3 linked regions of the Rhinolophus ferrumequinum genome follow. The protein of the gene in region 1 interacts with the protein of each later gene in a pairwise test. Links are inferred from orthologs where the notes say so. Each region holds a gene or a part of one and is shown on either strand. Other genes may lie near its edges.

Region 1 (3,747 bases):
TGTACCATCACAACTGCACCAACACCTCCAGAACAGCTATGATCACACCACCTCCCTCTGTGAGGAAACTGAGGCAGCCTGACAGGCCACGTGATAAGCCCAATCTCCTGCCCTGCCTCTCCATCTGGACTGGTCATGTCCTTGGCCGTTACTCAGCATCTGGGACCTTGAGACCCTCATCCCACAAAGGCTCTACAAATGACCTGGCCTTTTAAAGTCTGAGGGCCCCAAGTCTTAATTCTAAGGCCAGCCCCCACTTAGCAAGACCAGCCGTGTCACAGCGGAGGATGTCAGGTACTGGAGAGTGATGCTGAGTGGAGGGGCAGCAGACAGCATCAGTAAAAGGCTGGGAACTTGTGAGGAACTTGGGGCACCTCGGTCTCCTCTTATCAAGATGGTAGCCCCGTGCTGTTGAACTAGGACTGGACTCAGGGCCAGAGGATCTGAGCTGGAGCCTGCATCTGCCATTTAAAAGCTAAATGACCTCAAGATATGCACCCTAACTTGAATCTGTTTATCTATAAAATGGGCCTAATATCTATCTTAGAGCATTGTGCGGAAAGTTAAATAAGATACCAGATGTGAAAGATTCAGCCTTACCCAATGCTAGAATTTCCTGTGACCTATCAATTTGCACGCAATGCTGTTACACCCAGTAACCTCCTAAACCCATGCTTCTTTATATATGACCTCAATTCATCTATCTTCATAAATTCACTCCAGTCTCCTCTGGCTCCCCACCCCATGGGTGCTACTCTACCACCCTGTTCCCTTATAACGTGACCTCAGGATCAGTTCTGGGATCGGGATTTGGAATAATTTTTTAGCCTCCTCCCTCTACATTTTTATATTGTTTATTTTCTACAAAAACTACACTCACTAATCTTAAACCATTCTCTCACACACATACACACACAGACCTAAACACCACCACCACCACCACCACCACCACCACCACCACCACCACCACAACAGCCCATCTGACAGGCCAGGCTGGCAACCTCAGCACAGTCACCAATAGGCACTTGGACCTCAAGCTAGTCACCATCCCGTCTGAACTTCAAGTTCTTCCATCTCTGAAACAAGGGATCAGGCCCACTAGACCAGCCCTGAGCCCCTACCCAGGGTAGAATTCCAAGAAACTCTGGGATTTCTTGGACAGACGAGCACATACTGTCCACCATCCTGTCTAAACCCCGAATGTGCGAGTGATGAGGGTCCAGATGTGCTTTCATGCAGGAGCTCTCCCCTGCTCTTTGCAAAAACCCTAGGAGGTAGGTACACTTGTCTCCACTTAACCAATGAGCAAACTGACACTGGGAGTGGTTAAGCCAAACCTCACCCCTCCCCACACATTGCCTCACCAGCCTTGTTTTAAACAGCATCCCTTCACTGGTGTAATAACCATCTGTGGAAGTCTACCACTTGTCAGGCTCCATGCTAGATGCCAGGGGGCTGGGGGTGCTGTACGCACAAGTCCCAAGCGGACCCTCTCTGCAGGAAAGTGAGCCTTGCAAATACACCCCACCTCGTCCCCCTACCTATTTCCTCAGAGGAAGGAGCTGCAGAAAATCCTGACATTTACTGAGCACCTACTACATGCCAAGCCGTCATAGATGGTTAACACGTTTGTGTTTATGTAATCCTCACAAGAGTCCTCTGAGTTAGGTTCTATACTGTTCCCTTTTGACAGACAAGTGAGGCACGAAGAGATTAAGTCACTTGCAGCAGGTCACGCATCCAGTTAGTGGTAAACCTGGATTCACACGCAGTGATTCGAGCCCTAAGAGCGAGTCCCGTGCTCTCAACCACTACGCCCCAAGGCCTCCTCCGGAGGGCCCGAGCTCCCCAAGACTCAGAGAAGACAAGAGCCTTGTCCCCAACATGCAGCAAGCCTGAACCCCAGGCCAGCGGGAACCAAGCGTCCCGCTTGGCCCACGACAGAGAAGGTTCCCGGCACAAGAACCTTTCCGTTTTAAAACCGGAAATAAGTGGTCATCCTAAATCCAGGGCTCCTTCCACTTCCCCAGAGCAGAGCACCAATAAGCTCTGCAGAGATTTCCTCCCTCCTCTACGTGTGTGAACCAAAGGAGGGGCTCGCAGGGTGGAAACGCAGGCATCGGCCATACTGCCCCCTCCCCTGCCCGTTCTCCAAGCCCGCCCGCCCCCCAGGTCGGACCTCTGAGCCTCTGCTCCTCACCTCTCGGCGGCCGTCCGCCAACAGTTTCAACCGGCCGCGCGGAGCACGTGGAATCGCCGCCGCTGCCTCCGCCGCCGGCCCAGCGCCGCCGCCGCCTCGCTCCCGAGCTTCCCCGCGCAGAATTCGTTTCCGAGCCGCCCCGCACGCCTGCGCGCTGCGGCTGCACCGCCCGGCGGAAGTGACGGCAGCGGAAGCCGGAGGGCGGGTCCGGCCGGCCGAGGGGGCGTTGTCGCGATGGTTCCGCGTCCCCCGGAGCCCGGCGAGCGGCGCGGAGGGCGTCGCGGTAGGTGAAGAGGCGGAGGCCGGCGCGGAGCGGTCTCCCGGGGTAAGGTGGCCGCCGGGTCCGGAGGCCGCCTCGCGAGGGCGTGCGGGTCCCGCGCGGTGGCGCGGCCCCGAGAGCCGGGCGGGGCACGGACTCGCCGTCGCCTCCGCAGCTCCGGGCACCGCGAGGGTCTGGGGGAGCGGTCGGGTCGTGAGGGGGTTAAGCAGCCCCGGCGCCGTGCTCTGGCTCCGGGACACAAAAGATCCGGGCGTGCTCCTGGAGCCGGCCGTGTCCGTGTGCAGCTTCCTCGGCCTGGGAAGCCCACCCGCGTCCCCGCCCGGCCTCCCGCCCGCTCGGGCACTGCCCGCGTGTAGCCCCCGATCCCTCCCCGTCCGGGGCTCCCCGCGCTCGGTTCCCATCTCCCTCTGCCTCCCTGTGGTTGAGAGCAGTGCCCACGACCGCAGACCCGGCCCAGCGGCATTCCCGGGTGGACTCGGCGTGCCTCGGCTCCCGTTTGCACAAGGCGTGCAATGGCAGTGCCTGTTGCGTCGGGGTCTCGCAGGATTTCTCGAGTGGATGAATGTAAAGCACTACATCGCTTCGCCGTTCTTCTCCGGTCTGGCAGACAGGGGTGGTCACTAGGTGTTCACGGCTTCATTGGGTGACTGGAGTATGGACCGAGTACTGTGAGAAACGGTAACCCTGGGGTGGGGGTGGGGCTGATAAGGGCGGTTTCACTCTGGGACCAACAGTGTTGGGCCTGGAATAGAAGGTGTAGCAGTTGGCGAGGGCCGCCATGACGAAATACCGCCGACCGAGTGGCTTCAACAACGTTTATTTTTCTCACAGCTCTGGAAGTGGTGTCGCGGGTTTGGTTTCTCTTGTCAGGGCCACCTTCTTGGGGGTCCTCACGTGGTCTTTCCTCTGCATGAGCATCCCTGGGGCTCCTTTTTTTTTTACAAGACGTCAGTCAGATTGCATTAGAGTTTTAACTTCATTGGATTGGATTTTAAAACCTCTTTCAGGGCCTGATCTCCAAACACAGTTGCATTCTGAGGTACCGAGGGGGTTAGGGATTCCGCATATGAATCTGGGGGGGATGCAACTCAGCCCTTAACAAGGAATTCACCAGAATGGACAAGAAGGGAAGTAGTTGCTGACAAAGGTGACAGAGTGGCCAAGAGGTTGAAAAGCAGGGTGCTCAAGGCATTTTTATGTGCAGGGCATGTAGGGGTGCCTCATTCTTAGTGGCGCTCTCCTGCATTTTCTTTTTTTTCCCCCTATT
Region 2 (3,747 bases), on another chromosome or scaffold:
TGTAGACACTAATAAACATTTATGTCTGAAATTACAACTTTTAGCAATGTTAATACGGGATATATTGGCAATCTGTGAAATAAAAGGTATTGAAAAGAATGTCATACATTAAGGAATGGCTGACATTTCCCGTTCTGGAACAACCCCTTCCCTCCTGCCCCATCCACCCCCCCCAATTGCAAATGGCCACGCTGTTTTGCTGAGAATTTAATTGACATAGGAACCTACCTAAAAAAATGGGTTGTGTCTCTTTGGCCTCCCCATTGACATCGTTGCTGAATTCTGAAATCTTATATACCTCATGGTGATAATCTGGGACGAGAAAACAACCAAAAATTAGAATTCTAATGGCCTGCAAGATATGAATAAGCAATAAAGACTAGAATCTCATTATATATATTATGGATAACCGACACTTTAACTTGTGAATATTCTTTTCCAGGACTCGGTCAGTCATAGAATTTGTAGTCACTGAGAATCCCTAAAACTTTGCTTACTCTGACTAAAGAAGTACACAAACTTGAAATATCACTTTGACTTTAGCTTTGTTTGATCACCCGGTTTTCACAGTAAATTTGGCCCACAGATGCCAATTATTAGGCTTCTTTTCTTTCAAATCACAAAGATGTTTATAAGGAAAAGAAACCTTGCCCAATCATAGGCCAGGGGAGGATTCCAAATTTATCTCCACAACCCATTTTCATGAGCATATAACAGTATGCTTTAGAGTTACGTGGCACTCTCAGTTTACCCAGAAAAGTCCCCACCTTTAAGTAGCTTACAGGCAATCACACTGGAAAAATACTGATTTGTCGTTTCAAATATAGTATAATTTGGATAAGAAAGCAAGATTCTCATCTTTTACACAAGTGACTCTTCTGCATTCAGCTACTGCACTTTAATATGCAGTAGTTTATTTTCTAAAAATGCACCTGCAGTGCAGAGAGAAGAATCAGACCCATAATTTCGTGGGGGAAAAAAACAACAGAAAAACTTGCTATGTTGGTCAAACTTTAAAAATACAGTATTTTATAAGCTTCTCTATAGAGGCTACTGTGCTTTGGCAATCTATTTCTAAAATGTAGGATTGCCTAGGTAAGAAAATAGAGGTTCCTTCTTAACAACTATTACATTTTTTTTTTTGGACTTGGACCTCTCAGGACAAAGTCTACAGAACTACTCTCACTTTTAAGATAAAGTAGTAAGTTCCCTGAGGTCATACATAAAAGAGCAGCTCACATTCCTGAATGAATCAGATAGACCCATAAGCCAGTCACAAATGGAGGAAGAGATATTTAAAGTACAAATGACTGAGTAATCAACAGTGCTTGGGAAAATGAACATAGGTAAAGGAAAGGGGCAAATATTTTGAATACGTAAAACTATTTCAGGTCTCTTTCATTGAAACAGTGTCAAACTAAATCAGGGGAAACAGATATGAGTTGATCTTTAAAATGTCTATAATAAAACCATTTTCAGACTAAGCTAAAGCAGGCTTTATTGAATCTACATCATACCGGTAGTTGTAGTTTAGCTTAGCTTGAAATACTCTATTACTTGGAACTGCTCTCTAATTTTCATCTGCTTACTACATGTGACTTCTCCAGGTTGTTAAAACAATTGCCTTGTTCGCTACTCTGATTCCATAGCTAGACAAAGCAAAAAGTGGACAGGTTCTGTGGTTTGGTTTTGACCTCAAGTTGTTTTAAAGAAGGTATTTCAACAGGATGGTTCTAAACTCAATATTAGGACTTGTGACATTACCACGAAAAAAAGTCACCTGCCTGTCATTTAAGGTGACACAATGCATTTTGATAAACATATCTTTACGTCTGCTCTTAACTTCTGACCGTTTTTTTAAAAATAGTCACATCAGGAAAATAAAGACTAACAAGTAACTGAACACAGACTGTTCAACTGATGACACTATCCAACTTGGTGTACACCTGTTAAATCGTCTGGAACTGGCTGGATCTTTATTTTTTAAATAATACTTTGACTGCTAAGTGATCTATTCTGAAACACCTTTCCAAATAACGTATCTAGAAAAGATGCTGGATGTCAACAATTCTTACGTGGGCTTGTACGCCTCATGAGCTTCTTTCTCATTCTTAAAAGAACCATCACCACCTTTTTTGTTTCTCTTTGGGGAGGGAAAAAAAAACACAAAACAAAAATAAAAACGAAAAACCCAAGACCACAACCATTGGTCGGGATGATGTGTCCACACGGCCTGGTGGAAAGGCAGTTCTCCCCCCAGCCCCCAACCTGGCCACAGGAGTGGAATACCAAAGAGGGCTCTCTGCTCCCCAAGTGTCATTGTTTGCTAATTTCCTTAGTGCCCTGCGACTTGTTTACGCGGAACAACAACCTCCTGCCTTCCCCCGGCACAACTTTGCTCGCCGCCCGGCGTGTGCGGCCATGGCCCGCCTCGGCAGGGGACTCGGGGGTCCCGGAGCCCCGGAGCGGGACGAGCCGCCAGGACGCGGGCCGCGCGCGGGGCTGTTTACGCGGCGCCACGTCCTTCCCCGCCGCCCGGCCCGGCACCGCTTACCTCGGCTCACCAGTTTGAAGCTCTGGGATTTCCTGCTCCTCTTCCTCTCGGAGAACTCCATGGTGCGGGCAGGAGGCGGGAGGCAGGGCTGCGGCCGGGCGGAGGGAGCGGCAGCCGAGGCGGCGGCGGTGGCGGCGGCGTTCGCTCTTGTCAACCGGCCGCGGGAGCGCCGGGACCAAGGTCCGTCTCTGGAATCCGCAGGGGGGAGGCCGAGGGAAGGGAAGAACCACCTCGAACCCGCTCGGGGGCTGCGGCGCGCGGGGCTCGGCAGGAGGTGCTTTCCCGGGAGAAGTTGCCCCCTCCCGGCCGCCGCCTCCGGGTCCCCTCCACACGCCCCCCGACCCCGGCTCCTTCCCGGCTTCTGGGAAAACGCGGCCGGAGCCGAACTTTCCGTTGGGGAGCGAGTTGGGGGCGGGGAGGGCGGGCCGGGGCCGCGGGCGCCCCGGGATGTCGCCGCGGGCCGGCCTGGGCGCAGCTCCGGACGCGGCGGCGGTGGCGAGCGCGGCCCCGGGGACGCGGCGGGCGGGCGGCGGGCGGGCCGGGTCGGGGCGCTGGCCACCCCCGCGGGAGGAGGGGCACCGGGAGGAGGCGGCGCCGCCGGGACCCCAGGGCCACCTGCTGGCGGAGCGCGGCCGCCGCCATCCCTGGGGGCCCCGGCAGCCGCCACCCACCGGCCTGGCCGCGCGCGCCTCGAAGAGGAGCCGGAGGCCGCAGCGCCCTCGGCCGAGCCCGGCCGGCCTTCCCCCAGGCTCCTTAGGCCGGCGCCGCGGGGGTCGAGGAGTCGGGGCGCCGCTCCCCACCGGCCTCTGGCCGCCGCTTCCTGGGGCGGATCTTGTCATAAATCGTCCTGGGTATCGGGGACCCTCCTGGCCAGCCCCTCCTTGACTTGAGATCCAGGATGTCCAAGGGCCAGACTCACTGGTTTTAGGCAAGTTTTAGGAAACACAAATACCCAAAACTTACCCATCTGCGCTCTGCAAGGAAACGAAGAGATTTTAGAATTTACTGGTGAGAAGTGTATTGAAAGTGAGCTTCAATTTGTTACCCCAATACAAGGAGGGATGTAGGAAGATCCGGAGTGATATTTAAGGAGAGAACTTGGAATGTGGGACTCCGAGGGGGTGAAAGGATGAGGGGTGCGATGTCAGTGGGTGTTTGATCCCTCCGCTGCCTCTTAGGGAAGAAGAGGCAGG
Region 3 (3,747 bases), on another chromosome or scaffold:
AGAGAAGATGGATTCAGTTGGAGTCAACGAGACTGAGGTGTCTTTGGGTCATCCAAGCAAAGATGTCCAGCAAACAAAGGCTGCTACACTGTTCTGCACCTGGGCCCGGGCTGAAGACAGAGAGTTCAGAATTATCAGTCTTTAGATAGTATTTGAAGCTGTGGAGGCAGATAAGCTTGTACAGGAAGATGGGGCAGTCCAGGGTGAGCAGAGTAGGGGCCTCGGCAGAATGGTTGCCATAGGTTGTCAATCTCTAGTCTGTAAAACATTGAAGGGTAAAAGGCTAGTTTTTCTTGAATTTTCACTGAATATTTAAAAATAGACCAGCTAGGGGCGGCCAGATGGCTCAGTTGGTTAGAGCACAAGCTCTGAACAAAAGGGTTGCCGGTTCAATTCCCACATGAGTCAGTGAGCTGCGCCCTCCACAACTAGACTGAAGACATCAAGCTGCTACTGAGCTTCTGGAGGGGCGGTCGGTTAGAATGGAAGCTCTGAATAACAAGGTTGCCAGTTCAATTCCCACATGGGATGGTGAGCTGTATCCCCTGTGACTAAAGATTGAAAACGGTGCCTGGACTTAGAGCTGAGCTGCGCCCTCCACAACTAGACTGAAAGACAATGACTTGGAACTGATGGGCCCTGGAGAAACACACTGTTCCCTAATAGTCCCCAATAAAATTTATCAAAAATATAAATAGTCCAATTAAAGCAGTAATGCAATGTTGATTCTATGGTTCATATAGGGAATCTTCCAACTAGCATTTCCAATCCACTTGCCTTACACAGACAAAAAGCTTCAAAATTTTCTGTTAAGTGGCTTCAATGAAAATAGCAAACTCCAGATTTTCAGGGATACAAACAAATGATGCCTTCAGATTGCCAGATGGTGGGACTTCAGTATTCCTGCTGAATTTTTTTGACATTCTTCCAAATTAAATTCAGCATTCAATATTTTTTGTTTGAAATTACATAGGTACCTAAGAAATAAAATGTCTACATTTACAAATGGGCTTTAATTATGAAACTCACAGACCATAACCAGGTGAATCTGCATTCTGAAACTTCGTTACTGTGATGTTGGGCGTGTTACTTATATCTCTCTGAACCTGTCATATATAAAAATGGAGGTAACAGCTTATTAAAATACCTGTGTAGTGTCAGGAAATACTGCTATGCAATATAGTGTATCCAAGCCTTTCACCTTCCTCATTCTGCTTGGATACAGAATTGGGTGTGGTATAATGGGTCCAACGCAGCAAATGAGTCCATACACAAAGAAGAGAGGCTCAGAAAATTCTGGGGTCATGCCTCCTGGCATCTACTATACTCTACGAAACTATAAAACTTGACAGCACCTACTGATCTAGCTATGGCTGCTTCAAGAATCTTTCCTGCTTCTCCCTAATTCTTGGAAAAACCCTAGGAGGATCCCAGGATATGTTAATGAGCTTCTCTTGGTATCTGGGGATGAGAAAACTAGGGAGAAAAATCAGATGAAGTTGGAAAGTCCCAATAACCTGAGATGAGGTCTCAGTTTCAAGAACCTGTTCCTCATAGCTGTCTCTAGTAAAAAGGGCACTTTTCTAAACTGATGCTGCCAAATCTTGACCGCCAACCTGCATGGTCCATAAGGTTAACTGTGCATACAGACCTGTGCAGGTTATGTCACCAACGGTAACTCTGAAGGTGAAAGTGGGCGCGTGTATTTGCACATCGGATCTTTCACATTCATAAACCGGGATGTTCTTAGTCTTCATGCCGTATTCGTGTAATACCTGAATCGGTGTTTTCCCTGGCTTAGCTGTAATCATCTTCCCCAAACTGCAAAAACCAGAAAAAGGTGTGCTGTGCATATCAAAACCGGGAGGGAAGCAGAAGCATAGAGACCAGTTCTGTCTGACCGCCACCAACGGTGACGGGAGAAAGCGCCGAAGCTCCCGGCGGCCAGGACCGGAGCTGGCGAGGCGCACCATCTCCCGGACCCGCAGCGGCCGGCATGAGGCACGCGCTGGCAGGGTTGAGGGAGGTCTTTAAGGAGGTAACTTGAATGCAGGTAGGACGGATTCGTAGACTAATAGAAGTGCTGCAACCTCAAACGACTAAACCCACAAATCCCATTTCCCAAGAGGCCCAGTGTCATCTCCGCCCACGCCGCCCGCCACCCCAGGACGCAAAAGGGGCGGGGCCGGGCCGCAGACCCAGCCCGCGCGCCGCGGGTCTGCCCGCAGCCTCCCAGGCGGGCTTTACCAGAAAGGGGCTTTACCCAGAATGCCGCTCGAGAGCCGCTGCCCCGCCCCCGCCCCTCTTGCCCAGCCACTCTGTCCCTTGCTCGGCTCGGCCCGGAATTCTCCGGCGCTGACCTGAAGGTCCCGCTGTCCTCGTGCTCCAGCGGCAGGGCCGCGGCGCGATCCCTGCTCTGGGACATGGCGAGAAGGGACGGCTCGACGGCGGAAGAACAGTGCGCAGTGACGTTCTCGCTCCCCGGGTCCGCCGGTCCCGGAGAGGGGCACTCCAGCGCCACCGCCGCCGCCTTCTCCCTTCCGATTCTCCCTTTCCAGCTCCCCTTATCCTCCCTGCTTACGTCCCTCTGGCGAAAGGGACGGGCGGGGGCGGAGGCGGAGCCTCCGTGCGGCAGCTCGGGCCGGGGCTCCCGGCTACGCCCCCTCGCTCTCCTGGCTACCTGCCTGTCTCCCTGCCCGGCCCCGCCCACTGGCATCCGGAGGCCTCGGCGCCTGGCCCCGCCCCTTCTCCCCGCCCTGGCTTTCCTCTGCTTCAGCGGGTTCCCATCCTGTGGCCTCCGTGTGTTTCGGCACCCTGTTCTCCGGCCTGGTCGAAGCCGCAATTGTGTCTTTAAAAGGAGGCCGTTTCCTGCCTGGAGAGGAGGCTTGTCGGGCGGGAAGGCTCGCAGATTCTGTGGGGCCCGAAGCCCAGTCATTTTTGGGCCGGAGGAAAGGATGAGGGCTGCGTCACTTTAAGAAAAAGATTTCAAAATTCCAAATGCAAAATTTATAGAGTGCATCCCGGGGCCTGGCCGGGAAGCTTGAGACTCTGGGTATATCAGCTCCTGAGGGCTGCGCTGAGCTTTTCCGGCCCCCGAGACCTGCCCTTAAGAGCTCGCAGGGACGTCGGGCTACACCCCTCCTCTACCTCCCCGTGGGCTCCATTGTCTTCTAGACTTTCATCGCTAAGTGAATGCTGGGCGCGCAGATCCCAGCTAGGCCTGTTACGTGTAAACTACGGCTTTTCAATGGGCCGGATTCCTATTAAATGCTGTTTCTGCACACCTGTGGTATTGGTTGTAATCGGGTTTGCTTAGGATGCGTCACCTTTGGTGGGGGGGGTCCGACAGCGAAATTAGATGTCCAGTGGCTTTTCTAGGGGTTTGCAGCCACTTGCAGAAATGGCTCTGTGTGTCTTCTCGGTGTTCTAGAAGATTGCTTTTCATAATCCTATTCGCACCGAGAGACTACTCAAAACTGTTCTTTGAGGTTGCATGCGAGTATATTTGATTGCAGATTTAAAAAATGTCCAGAATCTAATCAAATTGGTTATATTATTTGAGGCTTGAATTACACCTATTCTTTCTTCCCCAACCCCCTCTTTATAGTATCAGTTACTGTCCACTAATGTTATTTGTTTTGAGTAATTTGTGAGCACCACATAGCCACTATTTCAAAATACAACATCCACATAACTGTGGCAATACAATATTTCAGCCCTCAGATTTGTTTCTAAAATGTATTTTTA

What was found.
Region 2: the proteins of LYAR (region 1) and BEND7 interact in binary tests that used the Homo sapiens proteins (3 or more experiments, as listed by UniProt). The two-hybrid records come from large-scale screens. The link is inferred for Rhinolophus ferrumequinum from reciprocal best matches to the Homo sapiens genes LYAR and BEND7.
Region 3: the proteins of LYAR (region 1) and PRKRA interact in binary tests that used the Homo sapiens proteins (3 or more experiments, as listed by UniProt). The two-hybrid records come from large-scale screens. The link is inferred for Rhinolophus ferrumequinum from reciprocal best matches to the Homo sapiens genes LYAR and PRKRA.

Annotation. Positions count from the first base shown.
Region 1 is NC_046288.1:82,856,331-82,860,077, forward strand, and holds the start of LYAR (cell growth-regulating nucleolar protein), read right to left. Parts: upstream 2,365-3,747; 5' UTR 2,201-2,364; intron 1-2,200. UniProt on the Homo sapiens protein: Plays a role in the maintenance of the appropriate processing of 47S/45S pre-rRNA to 32S/30S pre-rRNAs and their subsequent processing to produce 18S and 28S rRNAs. Also acts at the level of transcription regulation.
Region 2 is NW_022680355.1:355,640-359,386, forward strand, and holds the start of BEND7 (BEN domain-containing protein 7), read right to left. Parts: upstream 2,753-3,747; 5' UTR 2,616-2,752; coding exon 2,555-2,615; intron 313-2,554; coding exon 229-312; intron 1-228.
Region 3 is NC_046291.1:47,480,586-47,484,332, reverse strand, and holds the start of PRKRA (interferon-inducible double-stranded RNA-dependent protein kinase activator A), read right to left. Parts: upstream 2,692-3,747; 5' UTR 2,426-2,691; coding exon 2,361-2,425; intron 2,054-2,360; exon of another isoform or gene 2,045-2,053; intron 1,822-2,044; coding exon 1,652-1,821; intron 1-1,651. UniProt on the Homo sapiens protein: Activates EIF2AK2/PKR in the absence of double-stranded RNA (dsRNA), leading to phosphorylation of EIF2S1/EFI2-alpha and inhibition of translation and induction of apoptosis.